2 linked regions of the Oryctolagus cuniculus genome follow. The protein of the gene in region 2 purifies or fractionates together with the protein of the main gene of each other region. This does not show direct contact. Links are inferred from orthologs where the notes say so. Each region holds a gene or a part of one and is shown on either strand. Other genes may lie near its edges. The genes, in order: KPNA6 and PTPN2.

Region 1 (3,821 bases), on a different chromosome or scaffold from region 2:
ACTTCAGCAATTGGAAAGTACTTTTAGACTTTGTATTTGTCATCTTAAGGGATCAAGTAAGCTATCCCCAAATGACCTGCCACATGGCCGTCCTACAGGTGCCCCAGGTACAAAATGACTGTAATTACTCACGTTAATAAAGGATTCAGGATGGAACAGTTCAAGACGTAATCCCGGCAAACAGAGCTGTCTCCAGCTATGTTTCCCAGTGCCCAGACAGCCTGAAAAGGAAGTGATGAAGCAATCCCTCAGCGCCTGTGGCTTCCATAAGTATTTTATAGACAACCACAGAGTGAGTCCCCATCAGGCTGCCATGTCAAGGCTCAAATCACACGAACCAAGCTCAGGTAACCTCCCTGCTGAAGTCCTTACTGAGCATTTGCTCTTCAAGGACCTCTATGCTCAGAGTCCCTGGTTCAGTGAGGAAGGCGGCTGCCAGCTGTATGACAGACTGAGAAGCCAAAGAGCTCCCCGTTCCCATCCACTCAGACAGAGTTCAGTAAATTGCACTCTTGAAGCTGCCTTGGACCAACTCGTAAATGTAGTAATTTCGACTCGCAACTTCTATACAATCACCAAGAATCCAGTGAGAGAAATGCAAGTTGTATTTTATTGCTATAATCTTTGGGAAATGGTAGTGCAGTGTCTTTCCCGCCCTACTTCTGACACGTAATGCACGTGTGTAGTTTTTCCCATACCAACAACCAATTCTCAGACACTGACTGCTTGTTCAATACTTTAATTTAAATGTGACCCTCACTCCCGAGGTTGAAGCAGATCCCATAGATTAAGGACCCACAGATCACTCCCACGTAACCTGTGCCTCCACTTCAGACACCAATCACAAGTCCCAGAGACTACCTAAACTTTTAACTGACTAGAAAGAAATTTGGGGATTCTTACAGAGAACTCAGAAAACACTACTTGTATGTGGAACAGCCAAATGAAAGAGACACATTAGACAAGGTATAAAGTGAGGAGGGTAGTGTACAGCTTCCATGTTATCTGTCACCTTCCCAGTACATCAATGCGCTCATTAACCCAGAGGCTCTCACCTTCAATAGTTTATAACCCAATCTCCAGATCCCTCCTCTTCCTTGGGAGGCAGTCAGGAGTTCCCACATTCTATGTTTGTATTTTTCTGGTGACCAACCACTGAAAGGCTACCGAGGTTCCCCAAACTGAGTCACTTTGTTAATACAGACTCAGATGTGTTCTAAAAGGGCTCTATAAATAGCAAAAGACATTCCTGTAACTCAGAAAATTCCAATGTTTTTAAGAGCACTGTGTCAAGACTGGGACTAAAACCAAATGTTGGTATTATACTGCAGCTACCATCAAGAATCAAGCCAAGGGGAAGGCGCTGTAGGTTAAGTCTCTGCCTGTGGCACCAGCATCTCATGAATGCAGGTTAAGTCCTAGCTGTTTCACTTCCTATCTAGCTCCCTGCTAATGGCCTGGGAAACCAGTGGAAGATGGCCCAAGTGTTTGGGACCCTGCACCCATGCAGGAGTCCTGGAAGAAGTTTCTGGCTCCTGGCTTCTGATTGGCCCAGCTCTGCCACCGTGGCCACTTGGGGAGTGAATCAGTGGATGGAAGACAGTTCTGTCTATAACTCTGCCTCTCAAATAAATAAATAAATCCTTAAAAAGAAGAACTAAGCCAAATCAGTATTACCTGTTCTTGTACATCCTCAAAGTCCGAGTTAAGCAGCTCTATGAAAATGGGGACGGCCCCTGCTTCAATGACAATTTTGGTTTGCTGGGAGGTTCCAGAGGCAATGTTTGTCAGAGCCCAGGCAGCTTCAAACTGAAAGGTAGATTAAGTCACCATTGAGAGATCATTCCACAGTGTGCAGCCATGTTTACTAGCTGGCTCAGAACAGTAAGCCTCTTGCCCATGAAAAACAAAACAAAACAACAAAACACATAAGCTTTTCCTCTCCCTTCTTTTAAATGGTGAGAAGAGGCAGTGATATGACAACGGGAAGGTGGAATGGTGCTTCCGTGGTCAAATTTTGTACTGTAACAGCATCCCCGGGATCCCCATCATGTCATTTATTTATTTCCTGAGCGTCACAGCCACCTATGAGAAGACTTGGAAGTAGATTAGAGTCTCTGATTTGTAATGGAATGGTGTGTTTGCAATATTCTTATCTTCCTTTGAGTTTTCAAAAAAAAATTGACAGATAACCTTCCATATATAAAAACTGACAGATAACCTTCCATATAAGAATTTGGTGTATGGTAGGAAAAATACCTCTTGCCTACTATATGACACAGTCCTCCAAAGAAATGACAATTAATCTTCCTTAGAAGGGAACCGGTGTCATTCACCCCTTGGGCTATCCTCTCTCCCTTACCATTCTTTATCAGTAAGGGAAAGGAAAACATAACTCAATATATATACTGACGGCGGAATTGTTAAATCTAGCCAATCGGGGCCAGCACTGTGGTGTAGTGGACTAAGCATCTGCCTGCAGCACCAGCATTCCATATGGGCACTGGTTCTAGTCCCTGCTGCTCCTCTTCCGTTCTCCAGCTCTCTGCTATGGTCTAGGAAAGCAGTAGCAGATGGCCTAATGGTTTGGGCCTCTGCACCTGCTTGGGAGACCTGGAAAAAGCTCCTGGCTTTGGATTGGCCCAGTTCCAGACGTTGTGGTCATTTGGGCAGTGAACCAGCAGATGGAAGACCTTTCTTTTTGTCTCTCCCTCTGTCTGTAACTCTACCTATCAAGAAAATAAATAAAAATATTTTTAAAAAATCTAGCCAATTAACAAATGCATTACTCTACATAGTTATTATTGAGAATGTTTTAAGGAAGAGATTTTGTTCTCTTCTTTATATCTTTATAATGTCAAGATCTCTGAGGCAACTGATGCCTTACTTGAAATGTTTCCTCATCTGACTTTTCTATCTCCTGAGAGATATATCTGCAGAAATACCCCATTCCAATTTCTTGGAAAAGGGCTTTATTTGGGAACTCTTTCCCTTGGGGCCTCACCTGTAATGTACAATTTTCATTCCTCTTCAGAAACTCCACAAACCGATCCACTACCCCTGGAGTGTTGATAACTTCATCTATTGGAGGACTAGGCTCTACAAGAGGGAGATGGAAGGAGATAAAAACTGAAGAGAGGCTTTGGTACATCTATTCACTTGTATCAGCTCACGCTTCTTTCTAGACACTTCTAACAAGCATTATAAACATACCCAAACTCCCTTCTGTTCAGGTGGTTTATCAATACCTGCTCAGTTTCTCTTTAAGGATTCATTTATATGAAAGACAAAGAGATTAAAAAAAGACTTTCCATTCATGAGGGCTAGGACTTTTGGTATGGTTTACTATAGCCTCAGGAGCTAGAACTGTGGTATGTGGCAGTTGTTCTATAAAAATTTGGTGTATGGTGGGAAAAACACCTCTTGCCTACTATATGACACAGTCCTCCAAAGAAACGACAATTAATCTTCCTTAGAAGAGAAATATGTAAACCAGTGTCATTCAACCCTTGGGCTATCCTCTCTCCCTTACCATTCTTTGTTTATCAGTAAGGGAAAGGAAAACATAACTCAATTAGGACTGGATTTACCCTTAAGTAGTCCAACTATATCATACAGTTCAAAGATGAATAGGTAGGGGGTGGCTGTTGTGATGGAGTGTGTTAAGCTCCTATGTGGGATGCCCTCATCCCACTTTAAAGTTTTGGCATTGAGTCTTGCCTCAGTTTCCAATCCAGCTTCCTGCTAATGAGCTTGCAAGGTAGCAGATGACGGCCCAAGCAGTTGAGTTCCTGCCACCCATGTAGGAGACCCACATAGAG
Region 2 (3,821 bases):
TAGATATTTTAACTGTTGGGTCTCCCTGCACTGGACAGGAGCAAAGAATAGGAAGATACCAGATCACATTTAACTAATAAAGTATTCAACTACAAGGTGATGTATATAGATAATTAAATGCTTTATAATTAAAAATTTTAAACTTAAGCATAGTAGTCAAAAGTACTGTGGTATAATAAATCCTTGGTCATTTTCATTCATCTTTTCGCATTGCAGGGATTTTTTTCAGCTTGAATATAGAATTTAAAATCAAACGTTTTTAATTTAAGGGAAGCCAAATTTTCGGTGTCTGCATTGCTTTTTCTTTTTTCTTCCCTACCTAGAAACGGTGGAAAGAACTTTCTAAGGAAGATTTATCTCCTGCTTTTGATCATTCACCAAACAAAATAATGACTGAAAAATACAATGGGAACCGAATAGGTCTAGAAGAAGAAAAACCGACAGGTGACCGATGTACAGGACTTTCTTCTAAAACGCAAGACGCTCTGGAGGAGAACAGTGAGAGGTGAGATTCCCAGAGTTAGATGCTCAAAAAGATGAGGCTTTTTATTGTGAAAAGTTCACTTGATGGGAAGCAATATAGACCCTCTGTCTGTCGAATTAATATTTAGGTAGCATATGATTACATGATTGTTCTCAAAAAGCTTTCAGTTCTAGAAAAAGACTGTTTATAAACAGAAACCAGGTGAAAAAACAGTACTAATTGAATACAAAGGTTAATATGATCAGATACTAAAATATACAAGTACAGTATAGTAAATAAATGATATGAATACTTGCCACTTGTAGAGTTAAAAATAAAATTATAAAATATTTAAACTTAATTCCATTGTTAGAGGCAAAAAAGTAGTTTTCTTAAAAAATAGGTAAAATGCCATTTTATACTTTTTCATTTTAATCCATATAAATGTATAAGTTATTGCAAAAGAATTTTTTTAAGATTTATTTATTTAAAAGGCAGAGTTAGATAGAGAGATCTTCCATCTGCTGGTTCACTCCCAAAATGGCCACGATAGCCAGGCTGGGCCAGGCTGGGCCAGGCTGAAGCCAGGAGCCTGAAACTATCCTGTCTCCCATGTGGATGCAGGGGTTCGAGGACTTGAGCCATCTTCCACTGCCTTCCGAGGTACATTAGCAGGGAACTGGATCAGAAGTAGAGCAGCCAGGACTCGAACCAGCATCCACATAGATGCCAGCACTGCCAGTGGAGGCTTTAACTTGCTATGCCACAATGCTGGCCCCCAATTTTTTAAAATTAAAAAAACCTACATTTCTAGGGCTCTGATTATTTCAGGCACACATTAGGAAGCTGGTGTTCTGAGGTCTAAGTCACTTAGCAAAGTGAATGAGCTCTTTTTCTTTTTTGAATGTCTGAATAACTTTTTCTTTTTTGGGGGGGAGGAGTTAAATATACTTTTTATTGTGGGAAGTTTTATGTTGTCATACTTGTCAAGGTTGGGATTTGGGATGTACCATGAAAATAGTATGAAGGTTCCTGTACATTATAGCTGCTGCACACTGTATTTTTGTAATATCAAAATTATATACCTGAAATTTTGTGAAACCTAATATATTGCCATATATAGTAAATGTGTTGTATTTCCAGACAGCACTGCTTCTCATTTATGGCTTTTTTAAGGATTTATTTTATTTATTTGAAAGAGTTATAGAGAAAGGTAGAGAGAGATTTTGCATCTGCTGGTTCACTACCCAGATGGCTACAACAGGCCAGAGCTGAGCCAATCTGAATCCAGGAGCCAGGAGCTTCTTCTGGCTCTCCTACCTGGGTCCCAGGGCCCAAGGACTTGGGCCATGCTCCACTGCTTTTCTAGGCACATTAGCAGGGAGCTGGATTGGAAGTAGAGCAGCTGAGACTCAAACTAGCACCCATATGGGATTCTGGCGCTGCAAGCCAGGACTTTAACATGCCATGCCACAGCACCAGCCCCTCACTTATGACTTTTAGACTAAGTGAAAGCATTAAGCTGTTCCTTTTTTAGCCTTAAATTACTACTATTTTTGAAGATATATTTATTTATTTGAAAGGCAGAGTTACAGGCAGAGAAGAGAGAGAGAGAAAGAAACACCTTCCATCTACTAGTTCACTCCCCAGATGGCCAGAACAGCCAGGGTAGGCCAGACCAAAGCCAAGAGCTTCTTCCAGGTCTCCCACATGGGTGTCTGTGGCCCAAGTAATTGGGCCATCTTCTGCAGCTTTTTCCAGGCCATTAGCAGGGAGCTGGATAGGAAATAGAGCACCTAGGACTTGAGCTGGCATCCAGCACTGCAAGTGGCGGCTTAACCTGCTGTGCCACAGCTCCAGCCCCTTAAGTTAATACTTTTAAATCAGAAAATGATATTGTTTTAAATTACGTTAACTTGTTTGGTAGTAAGATTTTCAGATTCCTAGTATTAGTATCCCCTTCTCCCCCGCTTTTGATTAGTACTATGTGTAAAATTAAGTGAAAAACAAGCTTAATGACTAAATTGGTTTCCTTAGTATCTCAGAATTGTTTTAATTTTAAAAGACACACACAAACCATCTTAACAATCGCAGTGGATGAAACCATCATTGTCCAAATTTGGCAGTCCAGAAATTACTTAAAATAATTTGGGAGCTACAGAGTGATTGCAGAAAGTGTTCTTACAGTGTGTGGATGTGTGCATACATATGTTCACATGGATTGTTTTCTTCTTCTTTTTTTCTTCCCTGGGAGGTAAATGAGACCTGGTGTATGTTTGAAAGCAGAGGGAGGGTCCCAAGAGAGAAGTAAGGCTTTTCAGATGTATGCCTTTCAAGGCAGAGAGAGAAACAGAGATTTAGAATAGAGGTCTCTTATCCATTATTTCACTCTCCAAATGCCTGCAACAGTATGGCATCTGGGCCAGACCAAAACAAGGAGCTTAGAACTTCTTGACTAATCCAAGTCTTGAGCCACTTTAACCGTCACCTCCTACTGCCTCCCAGGGTATGCATTACCAGGAGGTTGGAATTGGGACCTGACCCAAGCCAAGACTTAAAACCCAAGGACTTCCGTATGGGGTGCCGGCATCCTAGGTAGCATCTTAACCACTATACTAAATGCCTGCCTTCTCCAGTGCATTTTAATACTGATGGATAGCTTTGAATAAGAGGTACTAATAGAATAAGATAAAAATTTTGTCAAAGATTTCAGCCATTAAAGGAGTAGAGGGTAATTTCTTCTCTTCATTGTCATTGAGTATCCTCCAAGACAGTGTTTGCCAAATTGAAGGTCAAATCCCATAGTCATGAGATCAGTTATTGGCTTGTAAAAAGAGTTTCTAAAGAAGAAAATAGAATAGAGTAAAATAGAAATTATTAGACTATCATAAATAGTTAACTATGAATACTCTAACCTAGTTTCTTCTGTCCATGTTGTATATAAATTCTCCATACTCAAATGCATACTGTGTATATAGGTAAATGTATGTATATGTGCGCTCCATTGGGATATAAGATATTTCTTGTAGATTGGAATCTTAGTTTGACAACCAGTGTTCTCAATCATCACATGACCCATAAAGCTGTGAGAGTAGAAGGTAGTGGGGCTATATGAAAAGTCTTACTGTGCAGTATGTTTACGTAAAGTGCACCTGCCAGGGCGAGTGTTGGCAGAAGACTGCTGAGTCTGCTGCCATAAGAAATTACATGTGATTTTCCATGGACAAGGGTCCACAGGAGGTTCTCTTTAGGTTTTGTAGCCTAAGTTGTATGAATATATGCAAAAACCTGGTTAGGTCCCCCTTGGAAGGTTATTACACAGACATAATTTCCTGAGGCGCAACTGGATAACAGAAGA

The links.
Region 1: the proteins of PTPN2 (region 2) and KPNA6 purify together in Homo sapiens (affinity purification with mass spectrometry; 3 studies listed by BioGRID and IntAct, with this or other methods). This does not show direct contact. The link is inferred for Oryctolagus cuniculus from reciprocal best matches to the Homo sapiens genes PTPN2 and KPNA6.

The regions. Positions count from the first base shown.
Region 1 is NC_091438.1:140,292,874-140,296,694, forward strand, and holds part of KPNA6 (importin subunit alpha-7), read right to left. Parts: intron 3,100-3,821; coding exon 3,005-3,099; intron 1,810-3,004; coding exon 1,678-1,809; intron 222-1,677; coding exon 133-221; intron 1-132. UniProt on the Homo sapiens protein: Functions in nuclear protein import as an adapter protein for nuclear receptor KPNB1. Binds specifically and directly to substrates containing either a simple or bipartite NLS motif.
Region 2 is NC_091441.1:69,653,062-69,656,882, reverse strand, and holds part of PTPN2 (tyrosine-protein phosphatase non-receptor type 2), read left to right. Parts: intron 1-323; coding exon 324-505; intron 506-3,821. UniProt on the Homo sapiens protein: Non-receptor type tyrosine-specific phosphatase that dephosphorylates receptor protein tyrosine kinases including INSR, EGFR, CSF1R, PDGFR.